2 linked regions of the Alligator mississippiensis genome follow. The protein of the gene in region 2 interacts with the protein of the main gene of each other region in a pairwise test. Links are inferred from orthologs where the notes say so. Each region holds a gene or a part of one and is shown on either strand. Other genes may lie near its edges.

Region 1 (7,552 bases), on a different chromosome or scaffold from region 2:
AAGTAGGTGCTTGAACCACCTCTGGGGGCAGTCTGTTCCAAACCTTGGGGGCTTGGACAGAAGGAAGAACTTGTTTACTGTCCAGCCTGAAACGGTCTTGGAGGAGTTTGTAACCATTTGACCTCGTCATCCCTTGGGGCGCTCTGGTAAACAGACATTCCCCCAGGTCTGTTATCAGGTCTGTTATCAGTAAGTTTATCAGGGGTGCCTGGTGAGCACCCCTGATAAACTTACAGGCGGCCACCAGGTTCCCCGAGTCTGCACTTTTCCAGGCTAAAGAGCCCCATGGCTCTCAGCCTCTCATCATGTCTGTTTTCTGACCTCTGATCATGCACATGGCTCTCCTCTGCACTCTCTCAAGCTTCTCCACATCCTTTTTGAATTGTGGAGCCCAGAACTGGACGTAGTACTCCAGCTGCGGCCTCACCAAGGCAGAGTACAACAGGAGACTTGCATCCTGGGATTTGCTTGAAAAGCATCTATGGATGCAAGCCAGCGTTTTGCTCACTTTTAGCCGCAGCATCATATTGAAGGCTCAAGTTCATCTTGTGGTCAATCATGACCACCAAGTCCCTTGGCCAGCGTAGCACTGCCAAGCCTATAAGCATACTGCAGGTTTTTCCTCCCAAGGTGGAGAACCTTGCATTTTTCAGTGTTAAACACCATCAGGTTCTTGTCTGCCCATTTCCTGAGCCTGTCAAGGTCTGCCTGGATCACCCTCCTGTCCTCAGGCATGGATGCTTTACCCCAGAGTCTGGTGTCAGCGGCAAACTTGGCCAGTCCGCTTCTGACACCAATGTCTACGTCATTAATGAAGATGTTAAACAATATAGGCCCTCGGACAGAGCCTTGAAGGGACCCCACTGGTCACAGGGAACCACAGCGATCGACTTCCATCAACCACCACCCTCTGGGACCTGCTGTGGAGCCAATTCCCCAGCCAGCAGATCATGGTGGGGCCAAGTTAGCCAGTTTTGCCAAGAGGTGATCATGGGATACCAGATCGAAGCCTTTTATAAAGTCAAAATATATGACATCAATCTCATTTCCCTTGTCCAGGTGATAGGTCACCTGGTCGTAGAAGGAAATGAGACTGGTCAAGCAAGACCTACCCGCAACAAACCCGTGCTGGCTATCCCTCAGGATGTTGTCGTCAGCCAGTCGGTTAAGAATGGCCTCTTCGATAATCTTTTCTAGGATCTTCCCCGGGATAGGGGTGTAAACTGTCAGGGCTGGCTGACTTGAAGGTATCCAGCCTCTCAAGGTGTTCCTTGGCGAGGTCAGCTTTGATGGAGGGTAAGGGATCTCCCTCACCCCGGGCCTCTCTGTCCCGCAGTGGGCAGGGGCGTCCCATGGGACTGGTGAAAAACTAATGCAAAGTACCCATTTAGTAAGTTTGCTTTTTCCTGGGCGTCTGTTGTCAATTGTCCCATCTGGTTTAGCAGGGGAGCATTCATTGGAGCATTCTCATCTTTGTTATGTTCAGTCTCCTTTCTTGAGTTTTTTTTTAGGAGTCATGTCTCCACTCCTTACAATACTTGTACACATCTTACAGGCTTTCCCCTTCCACTTCACTCATGGATTATTATGATTCTTCTTCTCCCCTCGCTTGTCCCGTCTAAACAAGGTTGCTGTTGTGGAGCCTGGCTTTCCACTGGCTTCGGTCATATGCATCATTTCCAACTTCTTTTCTCGTGTCCTCTCCACTCTCTCTCTCCATATCATCTTCAGTCTTCCTCTTCTCCCTTGTAGTCCCATTCTGGTAACTTCTTTTCCCCCTCTTATTCTTCCGAATTCCCTTTGAAAATGTCCATACCATGCCAGTCTTCTTTCTTGTACTTCCTTAGATGCCTCCACTACCTTCACTGATCTTCTGGTGCAGGTATTCCTTACTTTATCCATCTTTGTCACTCCACACATCCATCGGAGCACTAATCTTTGTAACGTTCAGTCTCCTTTCTTGAGTTTTCTTTGGGAGTCATGTGTCTGCTCCTTACAATACTGCTGGATGTACACATCTTGTAGGCTTTCCCCTTCAGCTTCACAGATATTCTCCTGTCACATAATGTTCCTGTCATCCATTTCCAATTCATCCATCCTGCTGTTATTCGATGGTTGAACTCTTTCTCTAACTCCCCCTTTTTCTGAACAACTGACTCCAGATACTTGAACATGTCAACTTTTCAAACATGTTTCTCATGGATTATCACATTTCCAACCTCAGGTACCTCAGAGAAATAACAGTGCATTCAACTCCACCTATGATTTAAGATAATTATTTCTTGGAATTTTAATTTGCTGTGTACAAGCACTTGATAGACTAATCTATCTTGGCTTTCCTGCTGTCCTATCGCTTTAAGATAACTGATTTTGAGTTAGCAAATACACACCTCTCTAGAGCAGAGCCCTGAGCCTTCTGGATATTGTAGTGCTTTCTCCCCTCTAGGTCCCTGGTTGGTGTGTAATGTATAGAGTCCGCCTTATATTGAGGGCTAGGCTCGTTTCATAATGACAAACCATGTGCCTGGTTCTAGCTCAGGGCTGCAGATATTTTGGGGAAGGTTAGGATGACTACTGTGCTATACAGCCAGTAGTCACAGTGGCAGGGAAAACTGGAGTATAAAGGAACAACCCAATTGTATACATTTCTACTCAGTTTGCCCAAATCCTCTTACCCATATGTTGTTCCTACTTCCTGATATCTGGATGTTGTCACACTTTGCCCCACAAAATCTTTCAAAACACTCTGGAACAAATTGCCGTTTTCATTACCTAAAGCAACTTTCTCTCACACAGTTTGCTTGTATTTACACCTGTGGAGTCCTATATGAGTGGACTAAATCCAGCCATCATGTTTTTCTGTGAATGCAAAAATTGCATTACTCAATTAACAGCGCAAGAGAGACTACAAGTTGCCACCTCCTCACAAGTCATATTAATTTGTATTATGCTACACGCTGCAGTTTAATCAGGGGAAGGGCTTGTGCACCAGGCTCCAAGGGTCCAGCAACTGTTGGCACTGAGCTCTGAGAACCAAAAAAGAAACCCTGCCACTAGCTGCGTCCCTGCAACTGAGCACTGAAGTAAAACAGCAGCCTGCGTGAGCCTCCAGCTGAGATCACTTTACTGCCAAACTCCTTTTTTTGTGTTACATAAAGGCTTCGGGTGGGAAGGGGAAAGATTTTACTTCCCTCCACAGGGCTGTTGAATTTCTGCCTCCCCCTCTACACAAACACAGATTGAAGCACGTTTGGCAGGAGGGGTATTTAATACAAGAAGGAGGTGCAACTATTTCAACAAGTTGATGTAACCGGACACCTGCGACAGACCAAAAAGAAGTACAATGCAGGTGGGACAGCTGGAAAACCGGGTGCCCTTGCGGTCACTGGAATTGCCCAAATATCTCTTTGAACTTCTGCTTGTCCACAACTTGCCCAAACCTGAGCGTGAAGTACAGCACCTGTGGGCTGTCGTAGCGCTTGAACTGGAGCAGCAGCTCACCGCGCCTGTCCCCCGTGTCCCCCAGCGCCATGACGGAGGTGGTGGGGCAGTCGATGTCGTGCCTCCAGCCCCAGAAGGTGAGGTGCGCCACCCGCACCACGCCGCCCGTCTCGCTGAGGTAAATGAGGCCGATGAGGCGCCGCAGGTAGTAGCTGAGGCCGTAGAGCACGACGAAGGCCAGGGCGGCCATGCCCCCCGCCGCCTGCAGCTGCAGCAGCGAGGCCTGGCCCTGCGCGTACAGGAGGCCGAGCGGCGGCAGGGCCAGCACGGTCAGGCCGGTCTGCAGCAGCTTCAGGCGGGACAGCGCGCGGCAGTAGCGGATCCCCGGGAACCTGTAGACCAGCGTGAAGCGCTCCGCGGGCGGCGCGGGCGGCGGGCTGCCGGGGGCGGCGCTGCTACACACGCAGCGCAGCCGCCACGAGCCCGCCCGCCCTCCGGCCACGGCCACGGCGCAGCGCAGGGCGACGGCCTGGGGAGGGAGAGACAGACAGACGAGATGAGCCCCTCAGTGCCGCGCCGCCCTACCCACCCGGCCCCGCACTCACCGCCATGCCGCCGCCGGGAGCCGGGAGCGGAAGAGGCGGGGCCGGAAGCGGCCGCCGGCCACGACAGCTCCTTCACCGCAAGCCATGGCGGCGCCGGGCAACCTCTGCCTCTTCGACGTGGACGGCACCCTCACGGCGCCCCGGCAGGTGAGTGCGGGGCGGCTTCTTCCCAGCCCTTCGCGGCGGGGCGGGCCGGGCCCCCGCAGGCGACGCTTCTCCTCCCCGAGCTCTTCCTCTCCCCTCCCGGCCTGGCTGCCCTCGCCCCGAGCGCGAGCGCTCTGGCCTCGCCGGGTGTCCGGCCGGTTTCCCGGGTGCCTGTCGCTGGCGCTGCAGGGCGGGCTGTGCCGGGCGCCGTGCCCGCCTACACGAGCGTCGGGCTGCTTGGGGCTCGGCCGCCGGCGTGCGCGGGGCAGCGCTGCCCTCAGCGGCGAGCGGGCCCGCTCCGGCGGGGGAGCCAGGCCCCGGGGCAGCTCCATAACGTGCTCTGCAGTCGCTCTAAAAAGAAACCGCCGCTGCTCCGTCGCGCTGAGGGACGCCAAAGCAAAACTCCCTCGGGTGTCGCTCCTCCTGCTAAGGCTGGTGGCTCCTTTGGAGAAATAGTGAAGGGGCGGCGGGCAGGCGGGCGACGCCACCTGTGCATTTGGTAACTAGATAAAGCTGGTGCCGTCTGGATGCGCTTCCTTCTTGGCTGGCGTTCAGGTGAGCCGAGGAAGCCAGATCAAGACAGCAAACGGAAATCATCCTGTGCGGGTCCGTGACAGTAAACTGTCCTTTTTGGGCACGCTTCAGTCTTACAGCTCAAGGGTGCTTCTGAATTCCCAGTTACTGCTGGAGTTTCAGAGAGCCGTTATCTCCACAGGTGCTGTTTTCTTCCAGTACTGGAAGTGAGTTACAGTGTGGAAACACAGCAAATAAATAAACCTGGATGAATAATTAGGCCTGGATCTTTTTCTGTAATAAACTACTCCATGGTAAGGGAGCAGGCACAAGAACACCCTTCCAAGCTAGGTGCCCACAGGCACGTTATGGATCCTGGCTGCTAGGTGGTGCCCCATTCTGGTTTGAATGAAGCAAATGGCTGTCTATGGCAGAGGAAATGAGTTAGGGAAGTGGATATGACCACTGTGCCTCATACAAGGCTCAACTTAAGCCAGTGTGAGTTTGTGTGTCCTGGATCCTTTGCTACCGAGTAAAGTCAGTTTTCTCCATAGTAAAAATTGTGTGTTTATCCTCATACAGATCTTGCTATGCCTCTCTCTGCCTCTGTGACTTCCAGATGTGAACTCAGGGCGTATGGGGGCTACCCCTGAAGGTATTTCAGAAGGTCAAGAGGTTTAAATTTTTAGGCCTTCATAAGAGGGAGCATGCTATGTTAAGTAAGCTACATATTGCACCAGCTTTCTTGTTGATTTTTCACTCAAAGCATTTTTTTGGCATTTTTCTCCCTAAAGCCCTACATATTTTGCTTCACAGCAACCTTTCTCCTCCTGCACCACAATAGCTATGTTCAGATATACAATTATGCTAAAGCTGCGTAGGCTACCCACTAATCATAAACTTTTGTTTCTTTTTTTGAAATCTAGAAAGTCACAGCAGAAATGGGAGAATTTCTGCAGAAGTTGCGGCAGAAGGTGAGAGTTGGAGTAGTAGGTGGTTCAGACTTTGAAAAAATTAAAGAGCAGCTGGGAGACGATGGTAAGGAAGAGATGAGATGGTCCAGGTTGATAAATTTGTTGCGTATGAGGAAGTTCTGACACCTTAAATTAAACCTTTTTTCTTCCTCCTTCCTTGTAGTACGCAAATCTCATGAAGTGTTCACTATTCACAGTCAGTGTGTGATGATTGCTTGATTTAAAACTGTATTGCCCGCAGTGGGTTAAATTAAAAGTCTCCCAAGTACTTGTACTTTACACAGGAAGATTCAGTCTTATACCCTTTGGTTGCTACATGCAGTGAAGTTCTGACTTCACACTAGTAATGTAGAACAGTAGCATAACTAGCTTGCCCTGCGTGCCAAGTTAGGGTGCCAGAATCTCCTCGCATCCCTGCAGAGCCCATGGCCTGGCAGCACTGCCACACTGGGAACTCAGAGGCAGTTCCTGACTGCTGTTGCTGTAAGGGCAAGAGAGCCAGGGGAGGAAGAGCATGTGTAGAACAGCAACCCAGCTGGGACTGTTCAGACATTTCCAGTGTTGGTGAGGCTGCTGCTCCCTTGCCTCCCTGCTCTTGGACCTGCGCACCTCCTGCCCTGGCTCTTGGGACCTATGCCCCTTGCCCCCACTTGCTAATCTGTGTGCTCCCCACCCCCAGAACTCCATGCTTACCTTGCCTGTCTCCCTGCCCCTCTCCCCAATTCCTGCAGGGTTTGCCTTGTATGACAACTTGGCTTGTTATGCCGTTGTGTTAGAATACTAATTTTTAGTTTCTCTCTAATGCAGTTTTGCATATTGCCTTTGATATAGGTTGCTAAACTATGTGTTTATCCATGGAAAAGATGATTTTACTAGCCAAGTGGTCACATAAGGTAGCTTGTTCCAAGCCCTTGGTAGGAAACTTTCATTTTTAATGTGAAAGAACTGTATGAATAGCCATAGGCCCAGTGTAAGCAGCAACTGTTTTTTATAACCCTGCATTTACTTGGCTTAGAAGTGGCTTCTATTTAAACCTACATTATAGCAAGTTCTTATATTATCTACAGTAGTTGATTACTTCTTTACTCTCATTCTGAATGGTTGTAATCAAGGATTTTGAATTTGTAATCTGAGATTTTGAAAATGTGGGTGCAAATGATGTAGCACATCACTGCATGTAACGTTTCACATTTTTCTTCATTTAAACTACAAGATTTACTAATATGCTAGAGGCCTAGCACTATGGTATTCAGTTTAAGATCAAACCAAAAGCAAATATAACTTTATTGAAATAACTTTATTGATGAATGTGTCAATTTGCTAGATTATATGTAAAGTTTAAAAAATACAATAGTAGAAATTAATCTTTTGTTCTATAGATCTTATTTTAGCATCACTTATGCTTAATGTTGTAAAAATACCCTGGTGTATGATATGTAAAAGTATTTACAACAAAAACGTGGAAGTTTGAGTGAAGACAAATAAATTACAACAGTTTTTGTTTGTTTCAGTGGTTGAAAAGTTTGACTACGTCTTCCCAGAAAATGGTCTTGTAGCATACAAAGATGGGAAACTGTTGTCCAAGCAGGTATGTTTGAAGTTCCTATAAACTGTCAGACAATGTAGTCTTTAGATACATTTTCAAATAGTATTCTACTCTTAAGATTTTGCATTTTTTTTTATATCTTGTTTTGCAGTTGCAATTTTCATTTATCATCTTTTTGCTAGTCTGAAATTCTTCTTTTACGTGTATAATTGACCATCCATCTCAATCTTTTAAATGTGTAGATTTGATACAAGGCAGAGGGTCAGATTCTCACATTATGATTTCTTTGTGCTACTCTGGAAGTATAAAGCAATCGGGTATGTGGCATG
Region 2 (8,340 bases):
TGTGGTCAATCACGACCCCCAAGTCCCTTTCATCCATAGTGCTAGCCAGCGTACCACTGCCGAGCTTATAAGCATGCTACAGGTTTTTCTTCCCAAGGTGGAGAACCTTGCATTTTTCAGTGTTAAATACCATCAGGTTCTCATGCGCCCATTTCCTGAGCCTGTCAAGGTCAGCCTGGATTGCCCTCCTGTCCTCAGGTGTGGATGCTTTACCCCAGAGTTTGGTGTCATCGGCAAACTTGGCCAGCCCGCATCTGACTCCAATGTCCACATCATTAACAAAGATGTTCAACAATACAGGTCCAAGGACAGAGCCCTGGGGGACCCCACTGGTCACAGGGCACCATGACGATTGACTTCCATCAACCACCACCCTCTGAGTCCAACCACGGAGCCAAATCCCCAGCCAGTGGATCGTGGTGGACCCGAGGCCACAGTTGGCCAGTCCTGCCAAGACATGATCATGGGATACCAGATCAAAGACTTTTTTTAAGTCAAGATATATGACATTAATCTCCTCTCCCTTGTCCAGGTGATAGGTAGGTCACCTGGTCGTAAAAGGAAATAAGATTGGTCAAGCAAGACCTACCCACAGTAGACCCATGCTGGCTATCCCTCAAGATGTTGCTGTCAGCCAGTCCGTTAAGAATGGCCTCTTTAATAATCTTTTCTAAGACCTTGCCCAAGATAGAGGTCAGGCTTAAAAAAGGACTTCTTGTTATCCTTGATCCAGGTCTCTAGTCCCAGTTCCGTCTCCACCTTATCCTTCCTAACAGCCTCCCTACAGGATTGAGCAGTGGAGGTATAGTCCTCCTTGGTGATGGCCCCTCCCTTCCATTGGGTGTATGCCTCCTGGTGAAAGCTTTGAACTCCAGGTCTAATAGGCTTGGTTTTATGTGGCTTTGAACAACACTCTGGTTGGAAGCTCAAGTTCCACCTATGTCCTGTCCCACGTAGCAGCCAATAGTCCAACGTCCTGTCTCCAGCACTGTCTGCTCCAGGTGCCTCACAGTCAGGTATAAGCTGCTGGTGAGGAGTTAAAAATATTAACTCTTTTAAATTTTTACAAATTCCAATACCTTCTGCTCACTAAAAGGTCAATACACTATCCATTACAGCACAGAGTAGCCTGGCCCCTTGGGCAATCAGCCAACTGTACTTAAAGTGCTTTGCACTGGCGCTCAGTCCCATAACTGTTTGAGTGAGAGATACAGAGGATCAAGCCACCAAAGTGCCTAAGAATCTTTTTTTTTGTAAAAATATGTGTGTATGTGTATAGATATATACTCTCTCTCTCTCTCTCTCTCTCTCTCTCTCTCTCTCTCACACACACACACACACACACACACACACACAGAAGTTATATATATATATAGAAGTTATATATATATACACCTTCTAGCAACCTTTTCTTCATATACCTTAACTCACAAAACAAAAGCCATAAACCCATTACAATACATGCAGCCATGGATCTGCACTCCCATACACCCACCAGCAGGCCACACAAACCTGATTATACGGTCCCTTAGTCCACACTCTGGTTACAGGGTTTAAAATCTCAGTTCATTCTCTGTCACTGTCACTCTTGCTAGAGAATCTGCTGCTGCTGTCCTCATTGCTGTCTCCTGGTCTGGTTTCCGCATCACCCTCTTCTACTTTTGAGTGGAAAGGATGGAGAACAAACAGTTTGTTCCAGCAGTGGGCTTCAGACCTACATGGGCATCTAGCCATTCACATGAAGGCAACACCTTCAACATGCAACCAGTTTTATGTGTTTCATGCTTTCTCCATGTCAAGGTTTGTCCCTCTTCAACCTGTAGTGAGTGTCACACTCCTGGAGTACCTTGTGGGGAGCCATCAGACTAGGCTGGTCCTGTTCTCCTCCTGGCCAGAGCCTCCCACAGCTCTTCTCAGTGATGCTTCTTCCTCCTTCTCCTCCTCTCAGCTTTGCTCACTGCCTTCACCTCTGTCTGCAAGGGGTCAATCAAGTGTCACTTGCTCTATCTACCCAACACTTCCCCAGAGGTCTGCCTGCTTACAACCCTCCACTGCCTTGAGGGCCTAGGGCTGGACTCACACCCTACCAGTGGCCATGCCCTGAAGGTGAGGAGCCAGGACCAACTCTTTGTGTCAGTGCCTGTACTAGAAATCCCAGCAAACATCAGCCCATGGTTTTTCATTGGGGGTGGGGGGCACTGAGGTAGATGGTGTGTGCCCTTTGATTCCTCTGCTGAGGGCTGCAAAAGGGGCGGGTGTCACACAGATACTGCCTGTCCCAGCCACTAGGAAAGCTCCCAGGCTCAGACTGTTTGACACAGTAGCATAACTAGGGTTGGACAAGCAGGCATCAGGCAAAGTTATGACGTACAAGAGCTCTTGTGTCTTTAAACCAGTTAGTCCAGGGGTACTCACCCCACCCTGCAGGGCCAGATCTGGCTGCCAAAGTCATGTCATCCAGCCTGCGGGGCTCCCTATGAGTCCAAAGAGTTGGCAGTGGGGGAGCAGTTGCCTCTCTCTTGCTGCCAAATGTCTGGGCCCATGGGGAGCCCTGTATAAGGATAGCATGGTCCTGAGCACTAGATTGGGGCCTGGGGGTGGCCTGGGGCTGGATGGGGATGGTGCAGTGTTCCTAGGCCCAATCCTGTATTAATATACACATGTAGATGCACTCACTATGGACTTAGAAAAAGCCTGAGCTATGAATAATAGGTGCTTAATGCTGGTATATTTAAATGCTGCTGCTTAATAAACTTGCATTTAAATCACAAGCAGTGGCCTGGAAAGTAGAGTAAAAGTCTATTTATCAAGCCACTAATATTAAAGCCAAGAACATGTAACAGCTTTTTGGAAAAAGCATGAAACAGCCACTAAAAGTAACAACCAATGTTTTGCCATTTTATAACAACTGATTTGTACATAGTCAGCTAGAATCCTTCTGATATAATAATGTGACTTTGTTCACCTGTTGTCAGCCTTGGCCACCTTCAAGAGACTTTATGCTAAGTTACTGAAATGTGGCTGGAGCAGGCCACAATGCCTGTTTCAGAGTAGACCTTTGCGAGACATTACAACTGCGCCTCGTCAGCCAAAGTAAAAGAAACAGGAAACATGGGCAAACAGATTTCCCAGGTGGTGAGAGAGAGTGAGAGAGAGGAAGTCCTCTTTCGCAAAAAAATTATAATCGCTAAAACTTGTAATTGTTCCTTAATACGTGTGTAGCTTGCAAAAGAGTCCTGACCACAGACAAGGCTGTAGACTTGTCCCTCTAAAGACTAAATGGTATTGGACTTTGGTGACAGACTCATCTCTTGCTTGGGGTGGGAAGGGTCCCAGCAAATCCAGGAGGGGGAGGGATGGATGGAACTCAAAGTTTGGGGCAAAAAACAGCACATCCCTGCTCCAGTGGCTCCCCCCTGGAACGGGGGAAAAGTAATACAGCCCTGGGGTGAGCTGCTCTGCCAGGAAGCCAGACCAACAAGAGTGAGAGCTCCTCTACCAGGGCAGCTGAGTGTTGGAAGCATGGGCGACTGGTGCCTCCTGAGTCTGGGGGGGCACCAGTGGGGCACGACAGGGGGCGGGGGTGGTGGGGGGGAAGCAGCCAGTTGCTAAGCGCAAAAGTGCCATCACTTCTACATGTGGCATGGCGACAGTGACTTCCGCCACTGACGTCCCACCGTTGGACCCAATTTCAGGGTGGGCACTGGCACTTTCAGTGTCCCCCTACCAGCCAGAGCGCTCTCTGTCAGGGGGGGGCACCAGTGCTTTCTGGGGGGGGCATGTGCCACCCCTGGTGCATCGCCTATGGTTGGAAGCATTGGACTTAAGCTCCTTGGATGCACATCTGCATGGATACAAGCTGCACCTCTAGTAAGCTCTGCTAAAATCTCTGAATCTCCTGCCTTGAGCAACATACTTTCTCTACTCAAGACCAGTGTCTGAGAGAGTCAGGAGGGGCCTGAAGATTGCCCCCCCCCCCCCCCCCCCCCCCCCACCCCCCCCCCCCAATCACACAGGTCACTGCCAGCCCTGGGGAAACACTCACTCATATCCCAAGGGTCAAGAGTTAAAAATTAAACACAGTCTCACTTTGTGCTTCTGATCTTCAGGCACTTCTCACAGCTGGGGCCTGGTAGGGTGGGTGTTATGATTAGAGCCAGAGAACTTAATCAGTAGCCTCTGTCAGCCAGCCATCCAGCCAACCTAGCACTTTATCTGCATGCCTGAGGGGTAGGCAGGGCTGGGTCCTTCTCTGCCTGCCTCAGCCATACCTCCTTTTTCCCCCTAACAAGGTGAAGGGGGTGCCCTGAAAACACCAGCTTGCTGAGGGGAAGAAGCAGCTTTGCAGCGCACAACCGATCCAGGGATGTCCTGCCCCCAAGTACTACTAAGGCTGGGTAGGAAGAGTCTGGCCCTCTGTCACAGGGGCAGGAGATCTCCCCAGGAGGAGGAGGAACAGTGATGGGAAGCATCAAGACCATGTCCCAGTTCCCTGCTCAGCTCATACAGATGGGCCCACTAGGGGCAAGCTCGTCTTGTGCCCTGAGCCATCTCATCACGCCAGGTCTCTCCTTCCTTCTCAGGATTCCAGCATGACTGGAGCAGGCTGAGCTATGGGGCCGATAGAGTTGGGCTGTTCTGCTGAACTTTCCCCCAGGACTCAGGGGCCAGGGGCAGCAGGGAGGGAAGGAGAGTTGTGTGCAACCACGTGACAGTGCAGTCACCAGACCTGTCTGTACAAGGTTCGTTCTCAACTCCTCCCTCTCAACTTCCCATGCACCGTCAGTACACTCCACTTCATACGCCCTTGGCCTCTGCTCCTGCCTGGACCTCTGCAAGCCTCTTCCTATTCCCTTAGCAGGAAGGTAAGAGGGGTTCCCCAGCAAAGGCCTGAAATGATGCTGACCTTCCTCCCAGATGCCCCTAGGAGGATGAGGAAGGTTGCAACCCCTCACTCCTCCATCCCCTGGGACGTGGCCTGCTCTCCTGCACCATCCAACTTCTCACTGCTCCTGCTAAACAGGTGGGGAGGGAGGCTGGGATCACTATGCTGCTTTATCCGCATGGGGGAGAAGATCTCTGCGTCTATTTGCTCAAGAGTGCACTAGGTAGGGTGGAGAGAGGATGGCTGGAGGGGAACAACCCAGTCTCAGATGGCCCAGGTAATAGGAAGCTAAACTGTACCAGCTTCATCCTCAGCGAAAGAGGGTGAGTTATCAGGCATCTGCTCCCATTGAATCCAGTGTAAGAGTGTACAAATAGGCAGTAGCCACAGGGCAGCTGATATGTGTGGTGAATCCTCACCCCGTTTCAATGAGTCCCGAAGCCGCACCAACCGTTGGGGCATCTTTGATGTAGCAATAACTTTCCTCCATTCTTCCCTGTCTTTTGCAATCCCTGTATAGCCCATTTAACCCATGGTAAATTGTTAGTGTCCCTACGTGCCTAGGGTATGTTGCAGGACTGATACACCTCCTGAGTCTGAAAAGTGTTCAGAGGACAAAGCAGCCTCCCAAGCCTTTCACCAACAACACCTTCCCTACAGAGATGAGCAAGGGGATGTGCTACCCCTCCAGCCCGTGATCTCAGGGGCAAGTGAAGGAAGAGTGAGATCAGGAAAGCAAGCTCGTCCTACCCTCCTGCCCCTCTGTGAAGGTGCTGGGCTGTGAATCCTATGTTGAGGAAGTCCCTGGCCATCTGACTTGTCTATCTATAGTATCTTCTTTTGGGGTGTGGTGGCAGAGGCATGCTAGGGTCTTACTATGGGTCCTAAGGCAGGCATTCAAGGCCTACTCTGTACTCATGCCAGAGGCTGCCCCCAGTCAACCCAGCTGTGCATGGGCACCTGCTCATTCAGGGTGGGTGGGCAAAGGCAGGCGAGTCTGCTACTGGCCAAAGCCCTCCCTTGTGTCCCTCTAGATACAGGATTGGAGGTATCTCCACTGCACCAGCCCCGTGAGCTGCAGGGTGTGTGGGGCCCTCTGACATCAGAGCAGTCTCCCAGCCATTTCAGAAATGAATGGGCAAAGGAGTGAATGTGGCAGGGTGAACTGGATGGTGAACTCACTGGGCACTTCTACATAAGACAGTTACTGTAGAGTAGACTAATTAGCTCCACAGTGAATGTCTCAGCATCTACATGTGCTGGGGTTTTAGGCTGGAGTAAAATATTAAACTCCACAGCACAGTAGTACTTACATTTACTAGTACTACCCTGCTGTGGAGTTTAATATTTTACTCCAGCCTAATAATGTGCACCAATGCACATTTTCTACTCTGCAGCAACACAGATGTAGACCCTGACTCAGCTGGCTGGGGCACAAGGGTGCTTCAATGCAGGGAATGCCTGCTGGCTAGTCCCACACTGAAGCACCTTGTGCCCCAGCCAGCCCCTCTGCAGCATGTTGAGCTGAGTCAGAGCAGCCTCAGGCTGGCAGGCTAACCTCCCAGGCCCCCTACCAGTCAGAGCTGCTCCAACTGGGCTCAGTGTGCTGCAGTCCCAAGTGGCACCCAGAAGCAATAAACTCCAGAGCTATAAGCACCAGAGTTTATTGTGTTGCACTAATATGCACATGTGGACCCACCCACTGATGTCCACCTGCCCCTGCTTCTCTTCCCCGCAGCCGCATGCATGGCTGCCCTGCAGCGCCTTCAGCCCGTGAGCCATGTGGCTGTGAGCGGAGGCACCCACGGCAATGAGATGTCAGGCATTTACCTGGTCAAGCACTGGCTACGGGAGCCCTCAGCGCTGCAGCGGGACAGCTTCTCAGCCACACCCTTCCTGGCCAACCCACTTGCCATCGAGCGGTGCGTGCGCTACGTGGGGAGGGACCTGAACCGCACCTTCACCAAGCAGTTCCTCAAGTAAGTGAGCCCAGGGCAAAGCTCTGCATGGGGATGGGGGAGCTATCCCAGCATGCATCACTGCAGTGTTACCTGGGGCCTGGGGATGGAGGGAGATATCCCAGCATGCTACCAGGAATATGAGAATGAGCAAGCTATCCCAGCATGCACCACCCTGCAGTGCTGCTGGGGGAGCATGAGAATAAGTGAGCTATCCCAGCATGCACTGCTCTGCAGGACTACCTGGGACATAATATAAACTATTCCAGAATGTATCAAACTGAGGCAGTCCTAAGGGGTTTGGGAAGCTCTCCACAAACCTGTAGTGCTCCCCAAAATGGATGGAAACCCCCAAATCCCCTCCATGAAATGGGGCCTCTGAGCCCCTGATGGGTGCACTGTCATGCTACTCTCCCAGGGGACCCTGCCCCCAGGAGATTCCTCACTGACATCCCACCAGGCAAGGGGGTCCCCAGGCCCATGTGTGGCTTTGACCCTCCCTGTCCCCATGTCCCAGCTCCAAGGCGGCATGGGATGAACCCTATGAAGTGCAGCGCGCCCGCGAGATCAACCAGCTCTACGGCCCCAAGGGCTCAGCCCAGGCCTTTGACTTCCTGTTCGAGCTGCACAACACCACAGCCAATGTGGGGGCCTGCCTGATTGCCAGCGTCCAGGACAACCTGCTGCCCATGCACTTGTGCCACTTCATCCAGGTGGGCCCAGCCTTCCCAGGGCCCCCGTACCCGCTCCTGCCAGGGCAGGCCAAGACTCCCTCTCCTAACAGCTGCTGTCTCTGATTTCTCTCTCTCCTGTCCCCAGACCCACTGCACGCTGGGGCATTACCCCATCCTCCTGTACAATCTGCCAGACCAGGAGGCCTACTCCATCAGTTCAGTGGCCAAGCATGGGCTAGGTAGGGCGCAGCTCCACCTGGGGATGGGCAGGACCTGTCTAGCCCTGTAAGGTGGGCATTTGGGGGGGCTGGGCAGCAGGGCCTGGGAGCCAGACCCCTCCCAAATACACACCATCTCCTCAGCCTCCTATGCCCAGCATCTCCCAAGAAACTCCCCAAGCACCCGACCACTGAAACCTTAGGCCACCAATTATCCAACTCCCAACCCCTGCCCAGCCCACCATGTGCCAGAACCCAAGCCCTACCCCCTCTCCTTTCCCCAGCCCCCAAATTCCACCTCTTCTCACCTCACATGCCCCCCATGCCCAGCTCCCTTGCTTTTACCCATGATTCCAAGATCTCATCTCTGCTGCACCCATTCACCCACCCTCCTCCTTGTCATCTATGCACCCAGCCCACCCATTCCCCCTCCCCACTGCAGCCCCTCCCCCAAAGTGACAGGGGCATGCGCTGCCCAGGAGATATCTTCATGGGGCACAGTGCCATGGTATGTACATGTGGGAAAGGGGGCTAGCATTGTCCCCTAGCAGCTGTGCCATAGCAGCTCACAGAGCTGATCTGTGGGCTTGGCACATGTCTCTGGA

The links.
Region 1: the proteins of ACY3 (region 2) and PMM2 interact in binary tests that used the Homo sapiens proteins (3 or more experiments, as listed by UniProt). The two-hybrid records come from large-scale screens. The link is inferred for Alligator mississippiensis from reciprocal best matches to the Homo sapiens genes ACY3 and PMM2.

The regions. Positions count from the first base shown.
Region 1 is NC_081836.1:35,934,461-35,942,012, forward strand, and holds the start of PMM2 (phosphomannomutase 2), read left to right. Parts: upstream 1-4,077; 5' UTR 4,078-4,130; coding exon 4,131-4,193; intron 4,194-5,629; coding exon 5,630-5,741; intron 5,742-7,188; coding exon 7,189-7,265; intron 7,266-7,552. Other genes in the region: TMEM186 (transmembrane protein 186), read right to left, coding at 3,383-3,970, 4,047-4,052. UniProt on the Homo sapiens protein: Involved in the synthesis of the GDP-mannose and dolichol-phosphate-mannose required for a number of critical mannosyl transfer reactions.
Region 2 is NC_081825.1:176,370,420-176,378,759, reverse strand, and holds the start of ACY3 (N-acyl-aromatic-L-amino acid amidohydrolase (carboxylate-forming)), read left to right. Parts: upstream 1-4,757; 5' UTR 4,758-4,865; intron 4,866-6,623; 5' UTR 6,624-6,631; coding exon 6,632-6,864; intron 6,865-7,360; coding exon 7,361-7,556; intron 7,557-7,662; coding exon 7,663-7,756; intron 7,757-8,340. UniProt on the Homo sapiens protein: Plays an important role in deacetylating mercapturic acids in kidney proximal tubules. Also acts on N-acetyl-aromatic amino acids.